4 linked regions of the Tamandua tetradactyla genome follow. The protein of the gene in region 1 purifies or fractionates together with the protein of each later gene. This does not show direct contact. Links are inferred from orthologs where the notes say so. Each region holds a gene or a part of one and is shown on either strand. Other genes may lie near its edges.

Region 1 (7,766 bases):
TTGGTCTCTTTGATAGAACTACTCTAGACTCTGCCCTGCCCTGCCTCCCCATTACCCCATTACCACATTCCACCTCCCACCCCAACCTGAGAAAGAAGCTGAAAGGTCAAGGATCTGCTGAGCAACAGAGAAAGTACAAGAGTGGCCCAGCCCTGGTCCCAAGCACCAAGGGCCACAGACTCAGACACCCTCCCGCTGCCCCTGCCCCTAATCATGCAAACTCCTTGGAGCAGGAAAATTGCCAAATCCTCTGGGCCCTGAATATTTCCTCCATCACCCCCCCCCCCCCATCACCCACCCCTTCTCTCCCAATACTTTCTAGCTCAACCGATTAGGTACTCCCACCAGCCCATCCCCACCCTGGTACTGCCCCCATAACCATGTGATTCCTCCCACAATTATCTGGGACTGGGAGGTGAGGCAGGCTATCTCACAACCATTCCTGTTCTCCTGTTAGCTGGACAAGACTGCTGGGTTACCTAGGAATATTACAGGAGTCACTAAGAAGAGGCTCGGGGTTGTCAGCCTCTGGGAACCTCAGCCTGGCCAGAGAAATCCCTGTCCTTCAGCTGGTGTCCTGTCCCTACCACATTCTCCAAGAGAAATGCAAAGCAACCTTTCATCTGAATCCCACATCCACCACTCTCATTTTACAGAGAGAGAAACTGAGGCTTCACTAAGGCAAAAATTTAAGCTCCCACCCTGTCCAGTGGCCATAGCAGCTGCAGTCTCCAGGAGTCAGTCCTCACATCCTGCCCCCACAGGTACTACTTCATAGAGGTACCTGAGACTCAAGTGGGAAATGAATAAGCAACTCCTCTTCCCTCCCCAGATCCAACATATGGGCCCCAGCCAGAGCAAGGAGCCCCCAGAGGACACCATACAATATTTATGACATATTTGTGTTTTTTAAATTATTGTTTACCTAAAATCCAACAAACTGGACATCCTGTATTTTATCTAGCAACCATACCCCAGAGCCATTGCACAACCACAGACCCCCAAGTATTTCCCTCCCATGGCCCCCAGGGCCTTACTTTAATTATCTGCAAAATTGTAAGAAGCATATCAGAACAGCCACCTCTGGTGGATCTCATTCAAGATTAGACAGGTCCAAGGATCCAAGGATGGCTTATCCTAAAGCCAATGATCTGGGAGATAGCAGACTCAAATTCCTTCCTTTCACCCTTCTCTCTTTAACCCTATCATTAATGGTCAGGAATGAGAAAATAGAGTAGTTTCTTTTCTTCTTTAGTGAGGAGGGTTTGTACTAGGAGAAAGTTCAGCAGTTGAGTACAGCTTTGGAGGCAAACAAATTTGAGTCCCAATTCTGTCACCCCCATTTATCAGTTGTGGAACCTCAGCTCAGTTGCTTCATCTCACTTGCACTTCAGTTTCCCTGGCTGGAAAATGGAAATAATACCTTCTTTCCAATGATATTGTAAGGGTTAAATATGATAATGCATGTAAAGTGCTAAGCGTGGGGCCTGGTGCACAGTAAGTGCTGGATAAGTAATGGCTATTCTGATTTTGATTATCATCAGTCTGTACCTGTCCCAGTTGGAGTTCCCCAGGTCAACCTTAGCCCTGGCTGATTTCTCTTTGCCCTCAAGGTTGCCTGTTGGAAGAACTCAGGCTCTCTATATTAAAATGAGGAACATGTTCCTTATAAGAAATAATCCCAAGGCACCTTTTTAGGAGCACTGGAAAGTAGTGGAATATCCATTCTTGAGGGTCACCTGGCCACTCTCCATTCCAGGAGAGAAATGAAAATGAGTTCATCAAAGGGTAAAGGTTGGAAGCTCTACTTCTGGCTTCCTCATGCCTGCAAGGACTACAGTTGATTGAGGGTAAAGGGCAGTCAAGGTGAAAAAATCCCTTGGATGTGAAGTCAGACATGTCACCATCCCCCACCAGCTCATCACTTATGCCCCTCTGCTGGGATGAAGTCTGCATCTGGAACCTTTGCCCAGAGTGCACTCCCCTACTTCTCTTGGGATCTCTGGTAAGATGGTGATATTACAGTCAAAATAGAGGCCAAAGCAGGAAGCTGGAGTGGGTGGTGAAGATGATATACCAGGTCCTTCCAATGGGCCTGCCCAGCACAAAGCAGGGGCTGACGCAGGAAGAGGGCCAAACTCTGGGCTCCAGATACTCCCAGGGCAGGTCGGATCCCCCAGCCTAACTACCAAGATGATAGCCTATCATTTCTGCTCTTCCTGAGGCCCTACCCTTCGCAGAGGGCACGTACCAGGAATGGCTTGGAAGTTAAGGAGTGGTTGCAGGGCACTTAAGGAGGAAGCAACAGTCAGAGGTATCCTGAATTTCCTCATGCCAGTGTACCCCTACCTTCTTTTGCCCAGGGTAATTTATAATCCCCAGGTTCAAGAGATTATAAATCCTTTTGGGAGGAAATGAAGGTGGAGTCAGCCTTAGGAAAGATTCTGGTATCTCGGCCTTGCCTCCAACATACCAGAAGCCCCTGTTTTTTTGGCGATATCTATTTTTGTAGCTGTTGAGTCCTTTGTAGAAGATTCAGGGAGATGTGGCCTGACCCATTCAGAGGTACTCTAGAGATCGCTAGGGCAGACCCTGGTGGAGACACAGGTCAGATAAAGCCTCCTACTCTATCAGTTACTTTACTTCTAAAGTATCTACAGAAGAATGGCTTTGTCTAATGGACAAACATGGGAATGACTCAATTAGGAAGTCCAAGGCCCTCTACCATCACCTGGAGTAACCCACCTTCTGCTCCTCCTCAAGCCTGACTGCCACATGCTAGGATCCCTGAGAGGTGTTGCCAGATATAACCAAGAATACCCAGTTAGGCTTGGGATCCCAAGTCATTAAGAAGAGATATCTCTAGGTATGGAAAGATATCCTGGGGTCTTACCATGGGGCAATTCCTCTACATTCCCTCAGAGGTAGGGGTGTCTCTCTATGAAATTCCCATGATGTTTCCAGGGGACAGCCGTTTGTCAAGCTCCTACTTCATCAGACTCAGACTTGTCACAAAGACAGCCTTTTATGAAGTCACAACCCAGCCCCCTCCCCACAGGACCAGGGACCAGGACAACCAGGGACCAGTAGGCAAGGGAAGGGTTCAGGAGCTGCCTTTGGACTTTGGAGATGGATGTAAGGTCTGGAAGAGCTCACTGGATCTCTCTAACCCCACGCTGTAGGGAGTGGAAGAAGAGGAGGAACTTTCAGGGACCTGGAGATGAGAAGAGTTTCTCAGGTCTCAGTCACTGCCAGGAGGTGAGAACAAATGGGGCCTACAGCTTTGGTTCTTGATGTCTTGCCTGTCCCTTGTCATCTGGCGGGGGGGGTGGGGGGGTGGGAGAGTGGGAATAGGACCCCTACCCTGACTAAGTAAAGATAAGTGTCCTCATCACTGATGTTCTAAGTGTTTCACAGCAAAGGGATTAAGACTCTGAGGCAAGGACTAGATCATGCCCTTACTGTCATCTATCCATGATCAACCACCTGAATATTCCACTTGGTGTCCAGGGCAAGCGCATGCTATCAAATTCTGCTGCATTGACAAGTAGACTTGATGACCTTGAGGCTGGGCCACCCAAAGGGAGAAGAATGTCAAAAGAAGAAACTGGGAGTGCCAAGCACCCACTCTTCCCAGAGTGTAGAGATTCCCTCCTCCCAGAGCCAATCTAGGGGTAAAAAGGAGGGAGGAGAAAGCTTCACACCATCAAGTGTAGAACGTCGGTTGCCACTGTGGATGATCACAGTTTAGGGGGGTAGAGGAGGGATAGAAAGAGCCACTTGTTGGAAGCCTTATTTTAAAAATAAATGGGGGGGGGGGGGTGCAAGGGTAGTTCAGTGGTAGAATTCTTGCCTGCCATCCAGGAGACCCAGGTTTGATTCCCATCCCATGTAATTCCCAAACAAGCTAGGAAACCAACAAAAACAAACAAACAAAAATTCAACAAAATGGTGCTGCAATAATAGGATACTCACATGGAAAAAGAATGAAATATGACCCTGCCATATAGCATACAAAAGAAAGAAAGAAAAAAATAAATGAGGAAAATTGTGTTTCAAGTTAAGGATTCTAGCATTCCTGCTCTGTGCCTGACCCTGTGCCCACTGGACTCTGTGCCCACGAGGACACTACACCAAGGAATTCACAAGCTCTGCCCTCAAGGGAACCACAGTCTAGGGAGTGAGTGGCTATGCCTAGCTGTCTCCCTTAAAGAGAAGGCTGCTGTCCCATGAAGTGGTCAGGTAGCTGGAACCCAGGATCCACACTTCCCAGGCCAGGGCCCCAAATTTTTCTAAAGGTAAGAACAGTCTGGGATCTTGAGGACTTCTGGAAGTTGATCTGAGGTGTGTCCCACTGCTCTCAAAGTCTGCAGGTCTGGGGTCTTTGGATCGTTTATTCTGTTGACAGTGGCTTTTCCCCATGAGATCCCAGGCCAAAAAGACCTCAGTTTGCAGCTAGAGGCTCTTGGTCATATTGAGTGGCTGGTTCAAGCTATGCCTCCACAGAGACCTTCCTGCTGCCTGTTCTATGGGCCGGCAGAAGCATTGTCAGGGCAGACCTGGCCTAAAAGGCGGAAGACTAGAGATTGACCCTGGACAAGTTTCCCCATCCACCCACTATGAGGAGGGGAGTTTTACTGGATCTGTGGTTTTCAAGTTTCATTAGTATTATTTTACCACAGAATCTATCTTTTCCCCCATGAGATATTTTTGTCTTACACATTTTTCAAATTGTACTATTAACTATTGTCCATTATTTAACTTTGGGCTCACTGTTTGTGTTGTTTTTTTATTTTATTTTTTTTATTTCTATTCTAGTAACATATATGCAAACTAAAATTTCCCCTTTTAGTCACATTTAAATATATAATTTGATGCTGTTAATTACATTCACAACATTTATAGTACCATCACCACCATCCATTTCTAAAACTTTTCCATTGTCCTAAATAGAAACTCTGTACGTTTTGAACCTTAACCCCCTAGTCCCTACCTCAACCCTGTTCTCTGGTGACCTATATTGTGGATACTGACTCTGATTTTGCTTATTTTAATTCTTTCATTTCATTGAGATCATACAGTATTTGTCCTTCTGGCTTATTTCACTCAACATAATGTCTTCAGGGTTCATCACTGTTGTCACATGTATCAGAAATTCATCCCTTTTTATGGCTAAATAATACTCTGTTTTGGGTATACACCACACTTGGTTTATCCACTGGCTGATGGATTCTTAGGTTGCTTCCATTTTTGGGCAATCATGAATAATTTCACTTTGAACATTGGTGTGCAAATATCTCTAAGTCTCTGCTTTCAATTCTTTGGGGTACATACCTGGAAGTGGGATTTCTGGGTCATATGGTAATTCTATGCTTAACTTTTTGAGGAACTGCCAAACTGTCTTCCAAAGCAGCCGCACCATTTTACATTCACACCAGCGATGAGGGAGTGTTCCTATTTCTCTACATTCTCTCTAATGCTTGTAATTTTCTATTCTGTTCATGGTAGCCATTAGTGAGTGTGAAGTGGTATCTCATTGTGCTTTTTCTTTTTACATGGGCAGGCACCGGGAATCAAACCCAGGTCTCTGGCCTGGCAGGCGAGAACTCTGCCTGCTGAGCCACCGTGACCCTTCCTCTCATTATGCTTTTGATTTACATTTCCCTGATGGCTAATGATATTGAGCACATTTTCATGTCCTTTTTGGCCACTTGTATATCTTCTTTAAAGAAATATCTATTTGGGTCTTATGTCCATTTTTTAATTGGTTTTTTTTTTCTTGTTGAGTTGTAAAATCTATTTATATATTCTGGATATTAACCCTTTATTAGAAAGGTGATTTCCAAATATTTTTTCCCATTGTGTAGGTTGTCATTTTACTTTCATGATAAAGTCCTTTGAGGCACAAAAGTTTTTAATTTTACCTTATACCCAAAGCAAGAGCAATGAAGAAAGAAAGAAAGAAATGGGAACTCCTCAAAATTAAACACTTTTGCGCATCAAAGAACTTCATCAAGAAAGTAAAAAGACAGCTTACACAATGGGAGACAATGTTTGGAAATGACATATCAGATAAAGGTCTAGTGTCCAGAATTTATAAAGAGATTGTTCAACTTAACAACAAAAAGACAGCCAATCCAATTACAAAATGGGAAAAAGACTTGAACAGACACTTCTCAGAAGAGGAAATACAAATGGCCAAAAGGCACATGAAGAGATGCTCAACTTCCCTGGCCATGAGAGAAATGCAAATTAAAACCACAGTGAGATATCATTCACATTCACCAGAATGGCCATTATCAACAAAACAGAAAATGACAAGTGTTAGAGAGGATGTGGAGAAAGAGGCACACTTATTCACTGTTGGTGGGAATGTCAAATGGTGCAACCGCTGTGGAAGGCAGTTTGGCGGTTCCTCAAAAAGCTGAATATAGAATTGCCATATGACTCGGCAATACCATTGCTAGGTATCTACTTAAAGGACATAAGGGCAAAGACACAAACGGACATTTGCACACCAATATTTATAGCAGCATTATTTACAATTGCAAAGAGATGGAAACAGCCAAAATGTCCATCAACAGACGAGTGGCTAAACAAACTGTGGTATATACATACAATGGAATATTATGCAGCTTTAAGACAGAATAAGGTTACGAAGTATGTAACAACATGGATGAACCTTGAGAACATTATGCTGAGTGAGACTAGCCAAAAACAAAAGGACATGGTCTCACTGATATGAACTGACATTAGTGAATAAACTTGGAATATTTCGTTGGTAACAGAGACCATCAGGAGATAGAAATAGGGTAAGATATTGGGTAATTGGAGCTGAAGGGATACAGACTGCAACAGGACTGAATACAAAAACTCAGAAATGGACAACACAATACTACCTAACTGTAATACAATTATGTTAAAACACTGAATGAAGCTGCAGTTGAGAATGATAGAGGGAGGAGGGCTGGGGGCATAAATGAAATCAGAAAGAAAAATAGATGTTAAAGATCAAGATGGTATAATCTAGGAATGCCTAGAGTGTATAATAATAGTGACTAAATGTACAAATTTTGAAAATGTTTTTGTATGAGGGAGAACAAAGGAATGTCATTACTGCAGGGTGCTGAAAATAGATGGTTATTAATATTTTAAAATGTCACCTTATGTGTGAGACTTAAGCAAAAAATGTTTATTTGGTACAAAATTTATATTTTGACTAGTGCATTTCTTAATATAACTTATGTAGATAGTTTGATTGAACATCATAAGTACTTGGAATCTCAGGTAGGACATGAGATTTTGTTGGTTTGTCCAGAGTGATGCCCCGATGAATCCCAGAGTGATTCGATCAGTGAATGGGAAAGTATTTGCAACAAGCCCCCTTCAGGGAATGGTGAGAACAGGGAGAAATTCAACTTCCCCAGGTTGAGTTCTTGATATTCTCACAAGCAGTGTGGACAACCAAAGCTAGGCTGAACTCCCAGTCTTGGGGGTTGTTCATATGAAACTTAACCCCACAAAGGATAGGTCAAGTCTACTTAAAATTTAGGCCTAAGAGTCACCCCCAAGAGAGCCTCTTTTGTTGCTCAGATGTGGCCTCTCTCTCCAGCCAACACAACAACAATCTCACCACCCTCCCCCTGTCTACGTGGGACATGACTTCCAGGGGTGTGGGCCTTCCTGGCAAGGTGGAACAGGAATCCTAGAATGAGCTGAGACTCAGCATCAAGTGATTGAGAAAACCTTCTCGACCAAAAGGGGGA
Region 2 (7,261 bases), on another chromosome or scaffold:
ACACTAAAACCTGCTCCTATGGGGAGACAGCATGTGTGGTTCTATAAGCTGATACTTGCTCTTTAGCAGCAGATATCCTAGCTCTATAGGAGAAAATTCTGTAGTAATTTTACTTATGGTAAAAGACCTTCCCATTCAGATACTCACTAAATGTTTATGTTTGTACCTCTGGGCTTCTTTTCCTGCTTCAAGTTCATCTAATATCTTCCTTAATTAAGCTATGGCCATGGAGACATTCCACAACCAGAGTGACTGTTAAGTATGCAGATATGTGTCAGTTTCAAGTAACATTGGCCTCCTGTATAATATTCTCCACTGTCTTAAATTAACTGGAATAATTAAATAATAATTATTAATCACCGATGTCCCTCAAAGTGGCAACTACCTAATTCTAATTATTCTTTCTCTGTTTAACATGTTATTTCTATTTTTAGAGACCATCTAGACAAGATCTGCCCATCTGTGACATCTATTTAGGACAGTTTCACCTGCATATTTGCTAAATATGGCATCCTAAGCACAAAAACTCCTTAGTGTATTAACAAAATTGATATTTGCCTATCTTATTGCTGTTTATATTGTAGTTGTGACCTCATTTCTCAATATCACAGACTGTATACCTGTACCCTCCCATTCCCATGCTCAGGGATTTATGAGGAAAAGGTGTGGAAAGATTGTAAGAGTAGTGGTATGGAGTGAGTTGTAACATAGTAATACTTTTCCACTTTCCCTAATCTTCTCTTTATGCTTATGCTCCTGCTCCTCTTAAGCCCAGTAATCCTTCCATAGCTCACCGACTTCATGTCTGAATGACTAAGAACAACGAAACTGTTTTGTTTGTTTGTTTGTTTCATCTGTATCCTAAGTCTGCCAAGGCCTTAATCAACAAGATAATCCCCCTTGGTCTTTGGGAAGTCCTGAGAGTACTTTGACCAAAAGAAGGGAATGTGATGTTAGAACAGTAAATACCTTTACTAATCAGCTTAATTTTCTTTCTTTTTTTAAGAAATATTTTTATTAATAAATCAACATACAAACATACAAACATTCTTAACATACAAACATTCCATACATGTTATACAATCAATGGCTCACAATATCATCACATAGTTGTGTATTCATTGCCATGATCATTTTTTGAACAGTTACATCATTCCAGAGAAAGAAATAAAAAAGGAAAAAGAAGAAACTCACACATACCATACCCCTCACCACTCCCTCTCATTGACCACTAGTATTTCCATCTGCCCAATTTATTTTAACCTTTGTTCCCCCTATTATATGTTTATTTTTTATCCATATTTTATACTCATCGGTCCATACCCTATTAAAAGGAGCAACAGACATAAGGTTTTCACAATCACACAGTCACATTATGAAAGCTGTATCATTCTACAATAATCTTCAAGAAACAAGGCTATTAGAACACAACTCTACAGTTCAGGTGCTTCCCTCCAGCCCACTCCAACACACCATAAACTAAAAAGGGGATATCTGTATAATGTGTAAGGATAACCTAATTATAACCTCTTCACTCTGTTAGAAATCTCCCAGCCACTGACACTTTATTGTCTCATTTCTCTCTTCCCCCTTTTGGTCAAGAAGTTTTCTCAATCCCTTGATGCCAGGTCTCGGGTCATACTGGGATTTCTGTCTTACGTTGTCAGGGAGGTTTACACCCATGGGAGTTATGTCCCACGTAGAGGGGAGGGCAGTGAGTTCACATGCCATGTCGGCTTAGAGAGAGAGTCCATATCTGAGCAACAAAAGAGGTTCTCTGAGGGTGAGTCTTAGGCCTAATTTTAAGTAGGCTTAACCTATCTTTCACAAGAACAAGTTTCACAGGGCAATCCCCAAGATCGAGGGCTTGGCATATTGATTTGGTTGTCCCCACTGCTTGCTAGAATAACAGAAATTCTCCAAATGGGGAAGCTGAATATTGCCCCTTTTCTCCCTATTCCCCCCAAGGGGACTTTGCAAATACTTTTTTATTCACTGTCCGTATTTCTCTGGTATTTATTGGGGCAGCACACTAATCTGGACAAACCAACAAAATCTCATGCCCTATTCAAGATTCCATGTACTTATGGTGTTAACTAAACTGACCATACAAGTTAAATTAGGAAATGCACTAACCAAAATATAAATTTTGCACCAAATAAATATCTCTCCTTTTAGTCTCACATAGAAGTTGAATTTAAAACATGGAATCATCTTAATTTTCTTAAACTTCCATTTTTACTCAAGAAACTACAAAGAAGAAACAAAAAGTAACTGGGGCAGGCTAACATATCAACAATCCTTTGTGGTGCTAATTAAGACCTCTGCCTACATGGGAAAGAAGGAACTGTGACAAACAAGTCATGCTGAAAGTAGTAAGTCAGCTACTCATTACCAGATAACCCTATTCCTACACAAACATTTTGCCTGGGCAGCTTTTGCAGATTTATGGAACCCAAATACGACCTGCCCGAAGTGACTCACGGAGCTCACATCCTCCTTGCCTTCCTGTCCCATTCTCCCATACTTTCTTTGTTCTAAGCAGGAATATAAACTGTTTCCCCGCCACTTTTCTTTGAATAGTAAATTTCTTTTAGTTCTGTTCTCACGTGTATCACTTAGATCAATAAATGTATTCTACATCTTGGTTTTCAGAGTCTGCTTTTAACTTAATGATAGACAAGGCCGTAAGAAATTGCAGTCCTATATATTGTTGGTAGGAGGTTATTATTATGGTTAAATAATACCATTTGGCACTATCTATCAAAACTGTAACCACATCTGTCCTTCAATTGTCATGTGGGAATATATTCTGCCTATACACATATAAAATGATACATATATCTAGCTATGCAGTAGATGCCATAAAACTATAGCATAACTTCACTAGTAATACTCTCCAGCTCTATGAATGACCCTCTCCATAGTTACATATTAAAATCTCCAGGAAAAGTTAAAAGAAAAAAAAAGCAAGAACAGGGCAATGATACCGTGTGCTACTTTTTTTTTGTATCTTTAAAAGTTTTTTTTAAGAGGGTGGGCTACATTTTGTGAAAGCAAGAAGGAGGAAACTTTACATTTATTTGTTTGAATTTGCAAAAAAAAGACACTATGAGGATAAATGAGTAATTAATTTAATTACATGATGGTAGGATGTGTTGAGGAAATAACTAAAAACAAAATCTTCTCCCAACCCAGAAAACTTCTCCACAAAGGTAGAAGAGAAAGAAAAACAATTTTATTATTGAATAAGCATGAAACCAGAATGTGATGCATCACAGATAATCCGCAAAGATATTGCAAAGAAAGAAATTCCACTGTTTTATATAGCCAAACAGATACAACATGTTTTCAAGATAAACAGTCTGCAAATAAAAGGACTTGACTGTATCATTTGCCACACATAGTTCATCTTAAATTCACCTGGTGATTGGGGGTGGTCTTTGTGTTTGCCAGTTGCCTCTATTAAAAAATAAAATGTCTTTTATCTCTATGAGAGGTATAGATAGTTAACAATTTGGAGCCAGATGCCTAAGTTAAACTACTATGGAGATAGGGACTTGGGTGAGAACTTCCTTGATGCTAACATTTCAGAAAGAAACCTCCTAGGTCCTGGAGAAAAATATTCCTGGATTGTAAGGCAGGCAAAAGACTACGTAGTTTTTAAGAAGATTTAAATACATCTCAAAGGGGCAGAGAAAGGATTTACAATGTCAGGTTTTCTAAAATATGTTGTAAGAAAAGTGAATTGGGGGGGAGTCTTTTTCCCTTTTTGCACTTGGGAATTTTTTTTCCTTTTTTGATTAGAATTTATGCTTACGGATGGCTGTATAATTTTTCGTCCAATAGAACAGTTTCTACAGTGAAAGGGGTACGTTATTAATAATTATTTCAGGACAAAAGATGTAAATGTCACTATCCTGGAGAAACTGGGATGTATGATCAACTTACATAAAGATTACAGACTGGTAGGGGAAATGGGGACAATTTTTATTGTATTTTACAGAAGTATTAGCCTGTAATGAATTGGAAATAAACACAACTCATTCTTTACTACAGGTAATTTTAACAGTGCTGCCTTAAAGGAGGAGGAGCAGTAAACCACAGACAGGAGCCACGGAACTTAGTGAAAACGCGACTGTTTTGAGCACCCGGCACTTGCTGGAGTTGCACAAGTGACGCACTTGGAGCTGATCAGCCAATCTGAAGTCAGACACCCTGTGAGAGCGACTTGAGCTGGCCTCTGACGTGAGTTGGGGAGTTCGCGTCACTCGGCCCTGGGGGAGGAGCTAGGTCAGGTTCTACACCCATTCTTTTTCGGCGCTCTGGCCAACACAGACGCCACTCTGTGGCATCTCGGGCTCCCTCTGACTGCGCTCTGGAGGACCACCTCGTTTTCTTTTTGGCGGCGAAAGGTTCTCCCAGCCCCGGCTGAGCGGGAAGGAAGATGGCGGCAGCCGTGCGGCAAGATTTGGCCCAGCTAATGAATTCGAGCGGCTCTCATAAAGATCTGGCGGGCAAGTGAGTGTTTCCCAGGTGCACGGGAGTAGAGAGGTGGGGAGGGAAGCCACGGGACAAGTTCTCCATGGACTGTCGGCGACTATCGCGTATGAGCGAAAAGCGAGGCCCACGACCAAGGGGGGCGGACCTGAGGTCGATGGGAGAAGCAAATGTTGGGAGCAGTAGAAAGCTGGAGGGGACCTTGTGGAGGGGCGCTTGGGGCCGTAGACCTGGAATGACAACTTGTTCAGCCCTCGATAGCATCTTTACTGGCGTCTTGGGATCCTGGAATCGCGGCCTGCGAGACAGGCCTCGGCCTCCTCCGGTGCTTTTTCCCCGTCGCTACTCGGCTTCAAGCCGACTTCTGGCCTCTCTGAGACTTTTTTTTTTAGGGACATTTGTATTCCGAGGCTCCAGTGCAGAGTTTTCCCGGGAGACAGCTTCTCAGAGCTGGCAGGCTGAGGAGGTATGGCCGCTATCATGTGTTTAGAACCACTTGGACCATCTCCTGTGGGTCCTTATCTTTTTGTTACTCTCACTAAGCCGCCGAATCAGAAGAAGGGGGCATATATTTTTGGCATAAGGCGGAATGCTCTTATAATGTGAATCAGGATGTCTAGATTGGTAATTTCCAGAATCTGGATTGCTCAGTAATTTTATTAGAATTTATGTAAAGGCTTAGGTCCACTTCAAATTAAATATTTTGACATTATGCCTGTCCCTCATCGACCTGCAGCCAGATATTTAGCAATGTTAAATATGCATACATAAATGTATGTAAGTATAAAAATACATATATAAAAGTGTACATGAATCATATACCGTTTTCGTTTTGTAGATTTCTCAGCCCTCCTTTCCCATACTAAACAAGCATTCTGTTAAAAATATGCCTTTCAAGTTGACCCAATGTTTATATCCTGACAGTGTAGACCACACCGATTTATGTTAATGGGATACACCTGCCTTTACCTGGCCATTGAATTTTTGACCCTTATTTTCTTTTTTTTAAGGTACTCTGTGCTACCTTTTCTGTGGTGGCAAATATTATCTTTTTTTTTTTTTTTGCATGGGCAGGCTCTGGGAATTGAACCCTGATTTCTGGTATGGCAGGCCAGAATTCTGCCCCTGAGCCACCGTTGCACCGCCCAAATATAATCTGCTTTTATCATTGTGAAATTTAGCTGTGTATCTTGGGCTTAATTATTTTGTGAGACAATACCCCAATCAGGAAAATGGGAATAATTATAGGACTTATACGTAGAGTTGTTTGAGGATAAAGTCAATGTGTGTTTGAGGACAAAATGAAATGTGTGTGTGTGTGTGTGTGTTGTGTACACTCGTATCACATAGAACAGTACCTGGTGCTATAAGGTTGCTGTTGGCAGTAAGTAAATACATACTGACTCATTTCATGGGTGAAAATAAGTTAACTCTGTTTCCATGGTTCAATCCTTTATTGCATGTAATTTTGATAGATTTGGATGGAAGTAAAACGAGCTTTTATTTTTCTCCATGCTTGCTTTGCTTTTTAGTTTCTTGAAGAAAATAAATGTATTAGTTATCAAAAGGGACACTGCTTTTCAAGTATTTGCGGAATTCAGAAGCTTTAGCTAAGCATTTACTTCTTCAGCTTTGAAATGGAAATAAATACTACTACCTATCTCAGAGATGCTAAGGTATCTATTGTTTAACACTTCAAAAACTTAGTGGTGTAAAAGCAGCTAGTATTTCTCAGGATTCTTTGAGTTAATAGGGCTATTTTGCTGGTTTCATTTGAGTTCACTAAGGTAGGTGAAATCAGCTGGAGGTACAGGATCTAAATGGATTCTTCCCACTGGAAGTATTCCTAAGGAGAATTGGTGGGTATAATAAAGGACATGAAGATTTTAAAGGCTTAGTGTCTGTTGCCGTATATTGTATGTCTTGTTTATGAGACTACTTGTCTCATAACACGTTAGCCGATGTCAAGTATTATTTAAAAGAAACGAACAATGAAAGAAAATGTTGCTAATTTGGCAGGCAATATAAATTTAAAAAAAGATATCTAATTATTGAATAAATGATTCTTTTTAAAATCAAGTTAGTCTCTCCTAGTAGTATAAGATCTTAAGAGTTTCCTGAGAAACTAGAACTTTGTTTAAACACTGAAGTATGAAAATTAAAAACAGGTTCCTTTAGTTACTAGTTTCTACTGGTTTTGCTAATAGCACAATGAACTGAAATCCAGTTTATTGTGTTATTAGCAAACTTGTGGAGAATTTAACTAGCTTTTTAGAGGTAGAGATAACTGAAAATAGGTAATTTACTTTGGTGAAGCATAAAGAATTAAAGTACTTAGATGGTGGATAACAATTTGCATATTTAATAAAATTCTTAAGTTTTAACTTTAAATTTAGATTTGAAAGATTAGGACAATACAGACATAAGAAAACAGAATGATTTTCTTATAATGTATGTGGAAGTTCCTGATAATTTCCTGTAGTTAACTTCACTACTTCTGAATAGTCTCCTAAAATATTTCAAAGAACTTTAGAAGAAGAGAGTCTGAGAGGGAGCATTTGGGTAGATAGTTCTTGTGATAATCTGTCTTACCTGGCTAAAACCTACTTGGTTCTTCAAAAATCAGTTCAGATGTTAACTTTTTCTAGACAGACTTCTCTAAACAACCACCAATGAATGCACAGACCCCACCCCCAGACAGGACTTACTTAGCTGCTCTTCTCATGCACAGTGGCATCTGATATTTACCACTGCCATAGCA
Region 3 (7,361 bases), on another chromosome or scaffold:
CTGAATTTGAGTCTGGAAAGATGAGGATGACTATGTGGAGTAGGAGAGGAGGCTGCTTTAACAAGAGATCAGTGCATGCCAAGGAACCCAGGCCTGTCACATGCACCCAGGCACTGTAAATAGTGCAGCTGGGTATGGCTAAAGCCACAGTTGTGAGTTAGGAAACAGCCGGAATTATGTTAAGAGGTAGGCCAAAGCTAGAGGGAGGCTGGCTTTTATCTAACAAGTGACAAGGTTCAGGAGTGCCACTGGCCTGTTCGAAAAAGGTGCCAGACCAATTCAAACAAAGAACAAGTAGAAAAAGGCACCTACTTCAGACAGATCAATTAGAAAAGGCACCTCTTCCTCAGCAGAGAGGCCCCACAAAGCTTGACCACACAACTTAGATTTTAGCTCCCATCTGCATCCCTGAGTGCAGAGCACACACTACACCATCAATACACAATGGTCCTTATAAGGACAAATCATTTTGAGTACACTAGGCTTTTATTTTAGAAAGATCACTCCGGCTGAGGTAGGCAGATGAACTATGAGAAACAGCTTGGGATAGCTAAATGAGTCAGAAGCTTTTACAATAGTCCAGGCAAAACCTACTTAAGGATGAACAAATGATATACAGGAGGTGAAAATCTACATCCCACATGCAGTGCATGTGGGAGACAAGATTCAGTTAAGGAAATTTGAAGAGTAATGGTCCCTGTAATGCATTTTTCTTACATTCAATGTAAACTTAAAATATTAGACAAGATTACAAACACTAGCATGACTAATAATTTTAAACTCTGCAGTGTGATTGTGAGCAAGTCACTGAAATCTATGCATCTGCTACCTCTGAAAATAAAAGGTGACAGAAATTGTTGCAAAGGTCCTTCCAACTTTAAATTTTTTTTTATTTCTAAGTTATTACTTTGGTGAAGTCCTTTCAGAGGTAAAGAACAGTTCCTACACCAGAATGAGATGCAGTGCATAATCTGACTTCTCTTGAGCAGAGAATGTGCTTAACTGTCCTTGATGTTGAGATAATACATGGCACTACCCCAGAGCCTACATGAGGGCCAAGAACATGGCAGGTGTTCAGTGCTTGTTGAATAAATTAACAATATTTTTCTGTTCTAGATCTTCATACCGTTCCTCTTGGCCAACTCCTTCTTCTCAGCTTATAAATGTACTCAAGCCCATACACTTCACATCTACAATTTTCAGGACCTTCTTTGTAGGTAGCCTTAGTCATTCCCAAACCTTCAAACACTTGACTTTCATAAAACCCAAATCTGTATCTTAGGCCAAGACCCCCTTCAAGCTACAGGTTTCCTAACAGGCATGTATGCACGCTCCTCAGACTGGTGAACTAAGATCCTCTCCCATCCCCAATCCATTTTTGTTGTGGCCTGTATCTCGGTGAAAGGTGCTGCTCTGAACTATCACCTAAGCAGGTCACCTGGGAATTCTTCTGCCTCGTGTCTCTTAATGACCTCTCTCTTCTAACTGGTCATCAGGATCTATCCATTCTCTTTGATTTCTGAAATACAATCCTTCTGGCCAACCCCATACTTTATAATTAGAACCTCTAGATGCCAGGATTCAATTTGCTTTCAATACACTGCCCTCCACAGGAGAATGGAGTGAGGTCCTGAATCTGAGGCCAATCTCATCACTCCATCAACTTAATGCCTCAGGGATTCCTCATAGATATCAAGGAAAAATTCTAAATCCATGACAGGGCAAACAATGTCCCTTGCTTCGGATTTTAACATTCAAATTTTGGCTCGTCTCAAACTTTAAGTTCTAGTTCAGTTCCTCACTTTTGCCATATTGTCTCATATTCCCAAGACTTTTACAGAAGTTGCTCTCTCTTGCCATCAGACTACCTTCTACACAGTCTTCAAAAATAGATCAGATAGCACCTCCCTCCTCCAATTTCTGGGGCTCACTCTACACAGCACTGACCAAGAACTGTGTTTACCTGCTGCCTCCCCCAAGTGAAGGAGAGATTCTTTTAGGTCAGGGGTTGTATCTCCAGTGCAGTGCTTGGTGAGCCCATTCTAGTGCCAGAATGCTTCATACAATCTTTAATCTTAAAACCCTCCATGGAAAGAGCTGTTTTTCATGCCATTTTACGAATGCAGGAATTGTAGTTCAAAGAGTACATAACTCGTCAAGGTCATATAGAATATAAATCCTCGAATTCAAAATAGCCTGTCTCCAACACCTGTGCTCCTTCTATTTCACGCTACTAATAAAAACAAAAAATTTTTTTAACATAAATGGCTTAATAGAAAAAAAATCAAGAAAGAAGCTGGAACGTATCATTTTCTAAACCGCTTTGTTCTTTGTGAGGCAAGGTCATCAGCAAAATAGGTTAGTATTTGTCCAAGGCTTACTGATGTTCCAAATTCTGTGCAACATGCTGTACAAGCATGAACTCAGTTGGTGAATCCCTGAGTTCTGTCACCCAGCCACGTTAGAGGAGAAAACGGAGGCTCGGACATCTAGATCGCCAGGGTCCCCCAGCTGGAAAGGGTTCTAGGCTGCAGAACCGTCTACTGCACACACGCCCCGCGCTCGACACCCACAGCTCCCACCCGTTTCGCGGCTAGTCCAGAGGGAGGCACGCCGCACCGACACCAGGGGCACTGGCAGCGGGAGCTACAAACCTGTTTCCCCAAGCCACGGTTGGAAGTAGCTCTTTATAGAGACCAAGGGCAGATCTTTATTAACCTTGAGGGAGCTCAGGAGGGGCGCCCAGTCCACCACGCGGAGGCGGTCGGCGTTGAAGTCCAGCACGCCCTCCTGGAGGCAGGCGCGCACGGCGGGCAGCGGCACCGAGTCCTGCAGCGCGCACAGGTACTCGTAGTGCGAGAAGAAGTCGGCCGTGCTGTCGCGGCGCAGCTTCACCGAGTCGATCATGGCGAGAGGAGCGGGGTCCTGAGGAAGACCCGCCGCGGAGACAACGCCCGCACCCACCGAGGAGTTCCGGGCTCGCCGTCCGCCACCCTCGGGTGTCCTCGGCTCGGCAGCTGCGGCGCGACGCCTTTCTCAGGAGGGCTGCTGGGCCCGAAGACGCAGGCCCTGGGTCCAGGCTAGAATGGCCCCTCGATGCCGCGCTCCCGCGCCACCTCCCGCCTCGCTGCCGAGGCCGTTGGCACCCGCCTCATCGTCTACCTCGCGCGGATACGGTTCCAGCCGGCGGGAGAAGCCAGCGGCGGTCAGCGCAAGCAGACGTCAGCACGCTCGCCATTGCGTCCGCACGCAGGCCACGCCCCCTTTTAATGGGCGGGCCGGGAGAAGGCGCCAGGGCGCGCAAGACAAAGAAGGGAGGTGGTTGTATGAATCTGGGGTTTGCAAAAAGCGCTAACATATCAGGATAGAAGTGAGATATGAACGTAACTGTGGTGTCTTTAGTCTAAACTTCGAAAATTGTATTCTTGTGTTTGCAGCTCTTGGACAGAGTACAATCAATAAATAAGGGATATATGAACGATTGCTTCAGTGTTCACTGTTGTCCATTAAATGTCTTTTTAAAAAAAAGTTTTTTAAACTTTGTCCGAGTTAATTCCTGCAAATTATTCTGTTTCTAGCTAACTTCCACCGTTGCTGCCGAATTAAAAAGTGTTCTCTGAATTGCGGACATTATTGTGAATACTGTAATTATTGATTACCAATAATCCCTGTCTAAATTAATGAGAAAAACAGCAGACACTGCAATAACGAGTCATTCTACAATATACCTGTTAGTCCTCTTCACAACTTGCAGGGTAGTCAAGCCCAAGGAAAATTTGAGTAATTGTCACAGGCAAGAAGTGTCTAAGGAAACAACAACTCAATGTTATGTGGCATCATGGATGGGATCCTGGATCAGAAAAGACACTAGATACAAACTTTGGAAATCTAAATGAAATATGTACTTTAGTTAATGAAAATGCATCGATACTGGTTTGTCAGTTGCAAGAAATGTAAGGTGTTAATAATAGGGAAAACTGGGTGAGGGATAAAAAAATATTTGACAAATTTGCATATATTGATATAGGAAGATATCCATGATACATTGTAAAATGAAATAGGCCTTACAGAATAGAGACAAATATTATGTATGCATATATACTCATGAGAATGTAAGATACATGAGAGAAGAGACTGTCTTACTTACCTGCAGCATCTAACTGATACATAGTGGGCACTAATAAATATTTGTGGACTGAATGTTAAGTACACAGAAAATGACCTGGAAGAATGAACAGTGCATTATTATCATTAGTTACCACTATTGAGGGGAGTAGGATGGAATGGTAGTGAAGACTTGCAGTGTTTGTACTCTAAATTTCTGATGTTTAGTTTTAAAAGTATGCATTAATATTTGTGCTTCCTGGCTCCTAATGTGCTTCAATCCCAGCAGCCAGCCCCTGAGTCTTCTTTGCTAGGCTGCTCTCAGGCTATCAGAAATGGCTAGTAACTAGTTTAACTAGTAACAGAAGACAGGGGTGTAAAAGCTCTGACAATTTAACCCTTGTGCAATGCAGAGGTATACTTTTTGTCGTCTCTACAGCTCACCTGAGATTCAACCTAATTTCACTGACTTCAGGGTGCTTTATTTCAAGTTGCATCCTTTTAATGGTCTCCTTCCATTACAAGTTCCCTGGATTTTCTCAGAACCGCTCCTCCTCTCAAAGTCTGCTTCCTCTAAGTCACCTGTATAATTTCTTAAAATTTTCTTTAAAAATCAGTGCTTATTGGACAATAAGATAATTGACTTTCTCAAACCTTTCCAACGTGCAAGATTCTAAATTTATGTTAAGAAATATCCAGGCACAGCTCCATAATTTACGGGGCCCATCAGAAAATGGAAATGTGTGGCCTCTTGTTCAAAATGCAGAAAATAATGGGGTTAAAGGTAGAACTTTTTTCTTTCTTTTGAAGTTCCTTTATTTGTCATTATGTTTTTTTATCTACTATTGACTGAATTTCAAAGAAATGAAAAATTAAAATTTTACATTAGCCTGAATTTTCCCGTTCACCTTTATGTTGTGCAATGACATTATTAAATGCAAACCTAAGAACTTCTCACTTGTATGAGAAATCTCCAAAATTATGCAATTTTTATTCTGTAGCTTACACATGCATATATATTTCATTCTTATAGAAGTGCTGCACAAAACTAACTTAGTTTTAATTTCACTTTTGTGTGTGTGTGTGTGTTCTGATCTTTCCCTTGATTTATTTTTCCATTTCCCTACTTTGCCTTAATATCTCCACAAATGTATAAATTAATGTGACAGAGTGAACTGAAAGGTTTAGGAGGCGAAAGGGTGAGAAAGAAGAAAGGTACACCAGGAAATTTAAAGTGTGTGTAGGGGGTATTTCTGTGCTCCAGGCAGAACTCATCAAAGCCAAGATGGAGGGAGGTGAGTGCACATGCGGGCTTTGGCACAGGCAGCTTTTAAGGATGGAGGTCAGGTGACGTCTGGAAGGGGCAGTTCATTAGTTCCGGAAGTCAGGCTGGCGACACAGCCTCCACAGCTCCAGTTGCAGTGCCCTTCCCCGTTTCCCCGACCTAACATTCCAGCCTTTTTGTGATAATAGGGCGCTGAGATCTTTCTGGCTACTTCCTGCTGTAATGGGGCAGCGTGGGGTTATAGGCCGGAACCATCATGACTAGGGGAGTGGGGAGGCTGGCTGTAGGAATCTGGTGAGGAGGGCAGGTGATGATAATGATGCAGGAGCATCTGGTTGACTGCTATCCAGGATAGTTCCTTCATGCATCCCTGAAGGAAGTTGAGGAGGCAGGGAGCTAGGAGAAAAGAGACAGATTAGGATAACTGGTCCTAGTAGCGGGAGGAGCCATGTCGTCAGAGGAGAAGAAAACCAGCTTAAAGCAGAGTTGGTTCCTCGTTTTCTGTGGTAGAGATCGTCTCTTAGTTTGTTTAGGGTTTGAATATTTTGTTCCACCAGACCTGACTCATTGACGTAATAACAGCATTCCTCTTGGAGGAATATACACATTCCTTTTTTCAGATGTCAGCAGATCTAAGGGCCGTCAATTTTGAAGAGTTACCTGTGCTAGTGAGATAAGTTGGTAATGTAAAGAGGAGAGGGATTCTGATGTCAATTCCAGGGCTACCTGTAGTCAAGTTTCGAAGATTTGAAAGGTTAAAATACCATGTCCCAGTGCCCCTCCCAGTGTGGTTGAGGCTGCAACTGAGGCAATTAGGTTGATGCCTCCCATGATGGGAAGGAAGGCAGCCCTTTATGAGCGAGGAGAGGGCAGTAGCCAGGTTAGTTCGGACTCCCCATAGAGGGTCAATTGAGGAACAATAGTAACCAGGAAGCATGGTCCTGGGGCAGTGGAATTAAGGCACTTGGTAAGAGTTCCATTACACCAGAAATATTGTCCTTTGGGGGCATGGGTGCTGTGGATAGTGACGTTAGTCTGGCACTTGCTATGAAGTTTTGTTTGAGGGTTTTTTATCCAGTGTAGTGAGGTTCTTAATTTGGCAAGAAGATCTTGCCCCATTAGCGGGCCGGGGCAAGAAGGCATTACTAAGAAAGAATGTGTAATGGGGTACCCTTCTATTAAACATGTAAGAGGCCCAGTACTTAAGGGGCGTGAAGGATGGCCGTCTATGCCCATAACTGTGACCTGGGAAGGAAGGAGTTGACCTGAGTAAGAGGGGAGGACAGAAAAGATAGCCCCTGTGTCCACTAAAAAGGAGGTGGACTTAACCGCTACCTTGATTGTTACGCTGGGCTCAATGAGGGTGATTGAGGTCTCTGAGGCCGGGCGTTGTCAGTCGTCAATGGCCAGGCCCAGGACTGCTAGCAGTAGGTTAGGGGTTGGAAGGATGGCCGCTCCACGGCCAGGCGCCAAGGGGCAGTCACTTTTCCAATGTCCCTTTGTACCACAGAGAGGGCATGGTCCCTTGGGCGGTCGAGGACTGGGGCACTGGTAGGACCAGTGTCCGTCAAGGCCACATTTGAAGCACTTTCCTGGTGGTGGATTAGTCGTACCCAGTTTCGTCTCTGTTGAAGTGAACCGCAGAGCCGCAATCAGGGATTGGGTTTGTAAAGTTGCCTTTTGGCGGTCCCGGGATTCCTTTTCTGCCCTCTCTAGTTCATCATGAGTATTAAAAATTTTAAAGGCAGTGTTTACCAGGTCACAGATAGGGGCCTGAGGACCGTCCTCAATTTTTTTAAGTTTACACCTTATATCTGGAGCCAATTGGGATATAAAGTATGTGGCTAAAACAGTTTTACCAGCCTCTGAGTCGGGGTCTAGGCGGGTATATTGGGAGAGGGCTTCTGCGAGCTGGTGTAGAAAAGTGGCCAGGTTTTCATCAGGACCCTGGGTAATTTCCCTTAGTTTATGG
Region 4 (7,594 bases), on another chromosome or scaffold:
GAGCCTTGTGTAAGATGGTACAGCCCCGGCCAGCCCTGGACAGTTTAATTTCCATTGGTTCTTGGCTCTTCACAGTTAAGTAGTTTTAATTCCTTCAAAGACACACGATTTCCATCTTTCTTACAGTGTTGCTCCTACACGAGTGAATTCCTTGGAGTCCAGCTGTTGCATGCGTGACCAAAGGTACTCTATATTGGCTCCAAACAGATAGAAGTGAAGAAATGTGGATATGAGGCCTATTAGCAGAGCTTCTTTCTCTGATTTTAAGCCTAGGCTTCTTTTTTCAATATTGTTCTCTCAATCTTGGTTGACTAATGCAACTGTCAACACATTGATTTCATTTGAATCCTCATGGCTATGGCCATTGGTCTTGACCAATTCCTTGGTGCCTTTTAATTGTTCCTGGAGAACTTTGAGTAACACCTGCTTGTGGGACTGCTCTTCTGCTTGTTTCAATTCTGATTTTTGTTATTTAGCTTCTCCTGGATGGTCAGCAGTTGCTGTTGAATGCCCTGTATGGTTTGCTGCACAAACTGCAGCTGTGGGTCCTTGGTGAGGTTCTCTTCTGCTCAGAACAGTTGCTCTTTTTCTTGTTTCTGCAATTCCACCTCGTTCCTTGATTTGCTGACATTTTACTGAAGATTTTGGTATCTCCATTAATGAGTGAGATTGGTCTGTAATTTTCTTTCTAGTGGTGTTCCTTCCTGGTTTTGTTATCAAAGTAATTCTGGCTGAAAAAGAGCTGAGGAGTGTTTTTTTCTTTTCCTATTATCTGGAAAAGTTAAAATTAAAATGAGCTGCACTTAGAAAGTTGGTGCAGCTTGCTTGTATAGTGTCATCCTTGACTTTTCTTTTCCTTTGTCATTTCACACCTAATCCATATACAAATTCTGTTCACTCTATCTTCAAATTAAATCCAGAATCCAATCACTTCTCTCCACCTCTACTGCTACCACCTTGGTTCAGGCCACCAACATCTATCTCTTGCCTGGATCACTGCAATAGCCTCCTAAGTGCTCTCATTGCTTCTATGTATCCATCATAATATATTAAACACGTGGGTCAGATCATGTCACTTCTCTGCTCAAATCCTCTACTGCATGCCCATTTCACTTGGAGTAAGAGCCATAGTCTTTCTAATGGCCTAAAAGGCCTGACATAGTCTGGTTACCCTGTTACACCTTTACACCCTGTTAATCTTTCTGTCCTCATCCCTGCTTCTCTCTCTTTTTTAATTTTTATTAATAAAACCAATCAACATACAACACGAACATCCTTAATGTATGAGCATTCCATACTTGCTGTGCACTCAGTGGCTCACAAAATCATCACACAGTTGTATACTCATCACTATGATCATTTCTCAGAACATTTATGTCACTCCAGAAAAAGAAAAAAGAAAAAAACTCATGCATGCCATACCCCTCACCCCTCCCTCTCATCGACTACCAGTATTTCCCTCCACTCAAATTCATTTCAACATTTGTTCCCCCCATTATTTATTTATTTTTAATCCATTTTTTTTTACTCATCTGTCCATACTGTAGATAAAAGGAGCATCAGAACAAGGCTTTCACAATCACACAGTCAACTTTGCAAAAGCTATATCATTATACAATCATCTTAAAGAAACATGGCTACTGGAACACAGCTCTACAGTTTCAGGCACTTCCCTCTAGCCTCTCTAATATACCTTAGACTAAAAAGGGGTTATCTATATAATGCGTAAGAATTACCTACAGGATAACCTCTCGACTCTATTTGAAATCTCTCAGCCACTGACTCTTTATTTTTGCTTCATTTCTCTTTTCCCCCTTTCAGTCGAGGTTTTCTCAATCCCTTGACACCGAGTCCCAGCTCATGCTAGGATTTCTGTTCCATACTGCCAGGGAGATTTACACCCCTGGGAGTCATGTCCCACATAGAGATGGGAAGGGCAGTGAGTTTGTTTGCTGTGTTGGCTGAGAGATGGGCCACATCTGAGCAACAAAAGAGGTTCTCTGGGGGTGACTCTTAGGCCTAATTTTAAGTAGGCTTAGTTATCCTCTGCAAGGATAACCTACTTCTCTCTCTTAACTCATTCAGTTCCAGACCACCTTGCTGTTCCTCAAACTCTTCGAGCATGTTCCCACCAATCTACAAGTCCAAAGGGCCTTTGGACTTGTAGATTGTGTTGTCTGGAATACCTTCCCACAGAAATCCATATGACTTGCTCCCTTAAAGATTTCACGTTTCTGCTCCAGTATTACCTTATCAGGTATATTTATATAAATTAGCAAACTTCTGCATCCCTTACCCCCTTAGCTTGATTTTGTTTTTCTTTTATATATTTATTTACTTATGGGCCTGAGTCCAGCCACAAGAATGTAAATACCAAGAAGGCATGGATTTTCTCTGTGTCTTCAGTAGGTAGAACAATGCCTGAAAACAACAGGTACTCAATATATACCTTTTGAATCAACAATGAATATTTTATTATGTCTGACCAGTTGCATGCCCGTCAACTTTTCTAGTTTTATTTCTGCACATCTTACTCTCTATCATTACCATTAAGAACACAGTACCTGGTCCATTGCCTTGTACATAACCATTGCTTAGTAAAAAAAAAAACATGTGAATGAATGTACATTCTGAGCTTCACATGTTTACTTAGCTCCCATCCTCCCTTTGGAGAACTTTTTCTTCCCATTGTTCCCTCTTTCCCCACTTCTATTCCTTTCTCTTTTCTATTTCAACCTTACTCATCCTCTTTTCTCTGTTCTTTCTAACCCGACTTCTTTAGTCTTCTTCCCTCCTTTTTTTTCTCTGAAGTCTCCTCTTTCCCTACTCAACCAATTATTCTCTCGTTTTTTTCCACTCACTCCTCTTTCTCTCACAGAAATATGAAACATCTGAATCAGAATTGGCTTTGAGATTCCATCATCTAATCTCTCACTTTGCAGAAACAGAAGAGATACCACAAGATGGCATGATTTGCTTTAAGGAAACAGCTAGTTTTCTTTCCTCCCTTTCTTAGAACAGGCTAGAATCAGATAAACTTATGTTTGGATTGATCTTAGCTCCACCAATCCTGGTGACCTTCAACAAATTACTTAACTTCCGTGATCCTCAGTGTCCTCACAGATTAAATGAGATATTAATATGCACCTCAAAGAGTCACTGTAAAGACTGAGGAGAAAATTGAACAAATAAAGCACCTGGCACATAATAGAACAAATGTTCGTTCTTTTCTCATTCTTTCTTCTTATATATTTTTTTGTTTCCCTCTTTAAAATAATTAAGATTGGTTTCTTTGTACTTTGAATATTTTACTATGCCTTGACCTTCCCCTCACTATTATGTTTCATCTCTTCCATTCTCCTCCTTGTGCATTCCTCCCTTCCCCTCTGCTGTTTCTCCTTCCCCTACGCCTGGTTCTCATTCTTCTATCATGAACTAAAGGGTGTAAACCATAAACACTGAGCTTGAAGTCCTTTCAGCTCTAACAGTCTACTAGCCCTATGTCTTTCTCTTAATTTCTTTTTTTTTCTTCCCCTTAGTCTTCTTTCCATTACTTACAAGTTCATTAAGTTCTCTGGGCCTCAGTTTTTCCATCTGGAAAATGGAGATAATCACTAGATTGTTGTAAAGATCAAGTGAGTTACGTAAAGGTCTCAGCCCAGTGCTTGGCACAAAAGCCTCCAACAGGCCGCTAATTTTCTTCTCATTTGACCTTCTGCAGACCTAAAATGAAACATAAAACACTATAGAAATATTAGGGTTTTTTTTTTTTCCTTCTCTCTCTCTAAAGTAACAGGTGACAGAAAAGACAGCTTTGGGTTTGAAAAGATCTGGGTTCCAGTCAAACCCATGAGTTCTGATGAGCTCAATTTCCTTATCTGTAAAATCAGAATAATAAAACATATGCCTTCCTCCAACCTAGGGCTTTTTCCTCCCCCGGAAATAATAATAGTAATAATAAGAGGTCAATTTATAGACAGCATCACTCCACAAGTACATGCTGCAGTCGCGGTAGAGGGCGTCCTGGCATTAGATTGGGGAGGCAGAACAGTTTTAAGGATTCACTGGGATAAAAATGTTTTAAACACCTGACCAACAGTAAGCACTCAATATATGTTAGCTATTCTTCTTTTCTCCTGATTCTCAAAAAATGAGTGGTTGAACTATCTAGGTTACCTCTGTCGCTAATGTTCTATTATTATTACTCCTTCCTCTATCCTTTTCGTTCCGCCTCCCCCATTTTTTTTTCCTCCTTCTCCCTCTTTCCTGCCATTACAACTGCCGTCTCGCGTCCAGCATCCGGGGAAGCCTGGGTCTCTAGGTCTCGGGCTGTTTACAACTCACACAAAGCCAACTCGGACGCGCCTGGGGCCAATAGTTCCGTCTGCGATTAGCGTCAGACGCTCTCCCACCAATAAAGTTTTATTGAATCAGAGCAGAAAAAAAAGACACCCGTCAGTCTTTCTCCAGCAGCCAATCAAAGAGTAGGATTCCTGCGTCCCTCACGCGAGCTTCAGTAGTGAGGAGGCTGGGACCGAGTTTGTCTCGCCAGATACCCGCGTCCTTAGAGCGGAAGTACGGCCGGAAGAAGGCCATAGAGTTTAGCAGCTAGAGCGACCCTGGAGGGAGGTGGCAGGAAAGGCGCAGAACAGCTGCCGGAGGTGACGGTGCGGCGGCCCCGCCCGATGCACTTGGAAGACGGAGCTTCCAGGTAGTGACCCGCAGAGTGTGACCTAGGGTACGACCGGGCAGTCGGCGGAAGCCTACGGTCTCTGAGCGGCCTCTTTAAGGGAGGGGGCGGAGCCACGTGTAAGGAGTGTGGGGGAGAGGTCACATGATCGGGGGCACGTGCGGGGCACGAGGGGAAGACTGAGGGAGTTCGTCGTCGTTGGGGTGGGCATCATGTGACACCCCTTCCCCCACTGTATCCTGTGTCTTGGGGCTCAGTGGGGTGCGTGTGGTGGCGCTTGGGGTTAGACCCAGGGGGTCGGGAAAGAGGGTGGACCTGGCATCCCTGTCTCAGCCATGCTGTGGTCAGATTGGGCGGTTTTTGGATTTCTAGATCCGAGTTCTAGACCAGTTAATCTCTGATTTCACATTGTAGTGGTGACTCAGTGCCTCAGATATCCAGCTCCTCCCCCTTTTGCTTCCCATCCTGCCATCGTTCACGGATGCCAGCTTCACATCCTCTTTCCTTGCAGCTCCGGACATCCTGAACCCAGATACCCCCAGCACAGTGCGGCCATGAGTGCAGAGGTGAAGGTGACAGGGCAGAACCAGGAGCAATTTTTACTCCTGGCCAAGTCAGCCAAGGGGGCAGCACTGGCCACACTGATCCACCAGGTGCTGGAGGCCCCTGGTGTCTACGTGTTTGGGGAACTGCTGGATATGCCCAATGTTAGAGAGGTGGGTTTTTGGCCTGAAAAGTCCACAGGGAAGCTTGGGGCTAAGTTTCAATTTGAGATGGAAGGACAAGGGTTCATTTTGCAACCCTAAAACCATTCAATTGAATAAGAATACTGTGACTAACTGGCACAAAAGAAAATAAGCAAGTGAACTTCTTAGTTTCCTTTGAAGATGAAGGCTCTGTAAAACCTGGTCATTATTTCTAAGTTCTCTCTGCTGTTTCCAGAAGCTTTCCACAAGTCTTTGGGGGAGGGGTCACTTTCTACCTTATCTGCTTTAAATAAATTAGCATATGGCACAAAGGAAGGAGGACAGGGCCTGCTAGTTTAACAAGTTCATTCCTTCCATTTACACTTATCCATAATCCCACTGGGTTCCTACAATAACAATATCATAACCATTTTCAAAAGAGAAAACTGAGCCCCTAAAATGAAGCTGACCTGATCAAAATGACATGATGATTAAGAGCTATTACGCTTGAGAAGATAGGCTGGAACACAGGTTTCCTGTTCCAAATGAAATACTTAGAAATAAAAATGTCTAAATATAAAAATTTCTTAGTCTTTGGGCATTACTCTGTGGTACAGGGAAAATTGTGGTTGCTTTCCTTTGTAGTAGAACAAAAGAGAATCAGTGTGAAGAAAAATAAGCATTATTAGGTGCCTATTTAAGAGAGACAACTCTGCTGGTAGTCTGGAAACACCAGAAAAGTATGAGACATGGTACTTACCCATTTGAAGCTTACATTCCAGTTGAAGATATAAGATGAATGAATATAAACCTATAAATCATTCAGTTAACAACTATTTGCTGAGAGAGCTATCTACATGCCTACCTTTGCTAGATCCCGAGTGAGAAACCACATCCATAGACTTGTTGAAAAGAAAGGTATTCTTTAGGTAACAACCTTAGGCAGAGATTGATTAAGTTCCAGGATGGGTGATCACTGTTAGGAGAAGGTAGAGATCTGGGTGAGTTGGCCTGGGTGATGCAAACTTCTGGCTGAGGTGGGTCTGAAGCACAGGCAACAAACTCAAGTGTCTGCCTTGGCCATATAGCCATTGGATGAGTGTGGTGGAGGCATGAGTCTGTGGTCAGTTGGGGAGTACAGCAGACTGTCTAAAGATACTCATATTCAGAAATATTAAACATAGTCTGAAGACCTATCAGTATAGTTTGTAATGTCTGATTTGTGTTTCTATCAGAGCACTTTGTGATTTTTTTTTTTGGTGGGGGGGGTGAGGGTTTATGGATGAGAAGACATTGTAAATTGGGGGAATAGCATAAACAAAGGCCTGGAGATAGAAATGAGTTCTCCCTGTGGGGACAGTGGTCAGAGAGGCAGAGAATTTCTGTTGGTAAGCTGGGTGAAGTCACGTTGCAGGAGAAAGATGGGGCCAAGGAATAGAGGTCAAAACAGGGCAAGGGTGGGAGGGAGCAGAGGGAAGCCCTCCCTGTCACCTCTTTTCCCTCATATTCTTGCAGCTGGCTGAGAGCGACTTTGCATCCACTTTCCGGCTACTCACAGTGTTTGCTTATGGGACATACGCTGACTACCTAGGTAACCGGTGGGGTTGAAACTTTGAAGGAGTGGAGTTGGGAGAAGGAAACTTTCCAGAGGGACTTAATTGAGAGAAATTCCTGGGATACCTTAGTTGGATCCCCTAAGTGCGCAGGGTCAGAGTCAAGACCTGGATTGGCATGGAAGACAAAAAAGAGAAAAATCGGGTAGGGGGTTAGGGCTTCCCACAAAACTAAAGTCAAGATTTTCTGCGCTTTGTCCTTTTTCCCTAGCTGAAGCCCGGAATCTTCCCCCACTCACAGAAGCTCAGAAGAATAAGCTTCGGCACCTATCAGTTGTCACCCTGGCTGCCAAAGTCAAGGTGAGTGGCAGTCCCCCCCAGTTGTAAGTCAGAAGTCTGTTCACAAGGGACCATCTTCAAGGATTTTGTACTGAGATAGCCTTTGAGCCAGCTGTCACTTCTTTGTGCCCCTTGCCTCCCAGAGGTCTGTATCTAATGCCATTACCTGCAACCTTTTAGGCTGAGTGTTATTCTCTTAGTTTTTGTTTTATTTTAATTTTCAATCAACTTAAATTCTGCATAAAACATCTTTTGTATTGGTAGAGTGGGTGCAGAGGCCCACACAGGCAAAAAAAGAAAGAGAGAAAGAAAACATCTTTTGTGGT

The links.
Region 2: the proteins of DCAF1 (region 1) and COPS4 purify together in Homo sapiens (affinity purification with mass spectrometry; 4 studies listed by BioGRID, with this or other methods). This does not show direct contact. The link is inferred for Tamandua tetradactyla from reciprocal best matches to the Homo sapiens genes DCAF1 and COPS4.
Region 3: the proteins of DCAF1 (region 1) and centrosomal protein of 78 kDa-like purify together in Homo sapiens (affinity purification with western blotting; 3 studies listed by BioGRID, with this or other methods). This does not show direct contact. The link is inferred for Tamandua tetradactyla from reciprocal best matches to the Homo sapiens genes DCAF1 and CEP78.
Region 4: the proteins of DCAF1 (region 1) and COPS7A purify together in Homo sapiens (affinity purification with mass spectrometry; 4 studies listed by BioGRID and IntAct, with this or other methods). This does not show direct contact. The link is inferred for Tamandua tetradactyla from reciprocal best matches to the Homo sapiens genes DCAF1 and COPS7A.

The regions. Positions count from the first base shown.
Region 1 is NC_135341.1:34,577,542-34,585,307, reverse strand, and holds the start of DCAF1 (DDB1- and CUL4-associated factor 1), read right to left. Parts: upstream 3,001-7,766; 5' UTR 2,894-3,000; intron 2,797-2,893; exon of another isoform or gene 2,746-2,796; intron 1-2,745. UniProt on the Homo sapiens protein: Acts both as a substrate recognition component of E3 ubiquitin-protein ligase complexes and as an atypical serine/threonine-protein kinase, playing key roles in various processes such as cell cycle, telomerase regulation and histone modification.
Region 2 is NC_135350.1:44,643,829-44,651,089, reverse strand, and holds the start of COPS4 (COP9 signalosome complex subunit 4), read left to right. Parts: upstream 1-4,244; 5' UTR 4,245-4,447; coding exon 4,448-4,521; intron 4,522-7,261. UniProt on the Homo sapiens protein: Component of the COP9 signalosome complex (CSN), a complex involved in various cellular and developmental processes.
Region 3 is NC_135328.1:108,966,624-108,973,984, reverse strand, and holds the start of centrosomal protein of 78 kDa-like, read right to left. Parts: upstream 3,019-7,361; 5' UTR 2,908-3,018; coding exon 2,655-2,907; intron 1-2,654. Other genes in the region: centrosomal protein of 78 kDa-like, read right to left, coding at 5,628-5,785. UniProt on the Homo sapiens protein: Centriole wall protein that localizes to mature centrioles and regulates centriole and cilia biogenesis. Involved in centrosome duplication: required for efficient PLK4 centrosomal localization and PLK4-induced overduplication of centrioles.
Region 4 is NC_135333.1:69,008,632-69,016,225, forward strand, and holds the start of COPS7A (COP9 signalosome complex subunit 7a), read left to right. Parts: upstream 1-4,573; 5' UTR 4,574-4,685; coding exon 4,686-4,711; exon of another isoform or gene 4,712-4,809; intron 4,810-4,821; exon of another isoform or gene 4,822-4,951; intron 4,952-5,201; coding exon 5,202-5,406; intron 5,407-6,891; coding exon 6,892-6,967; intron 6,968-7,200; coding exon 7,201-7,289; intron 7,290-7,594.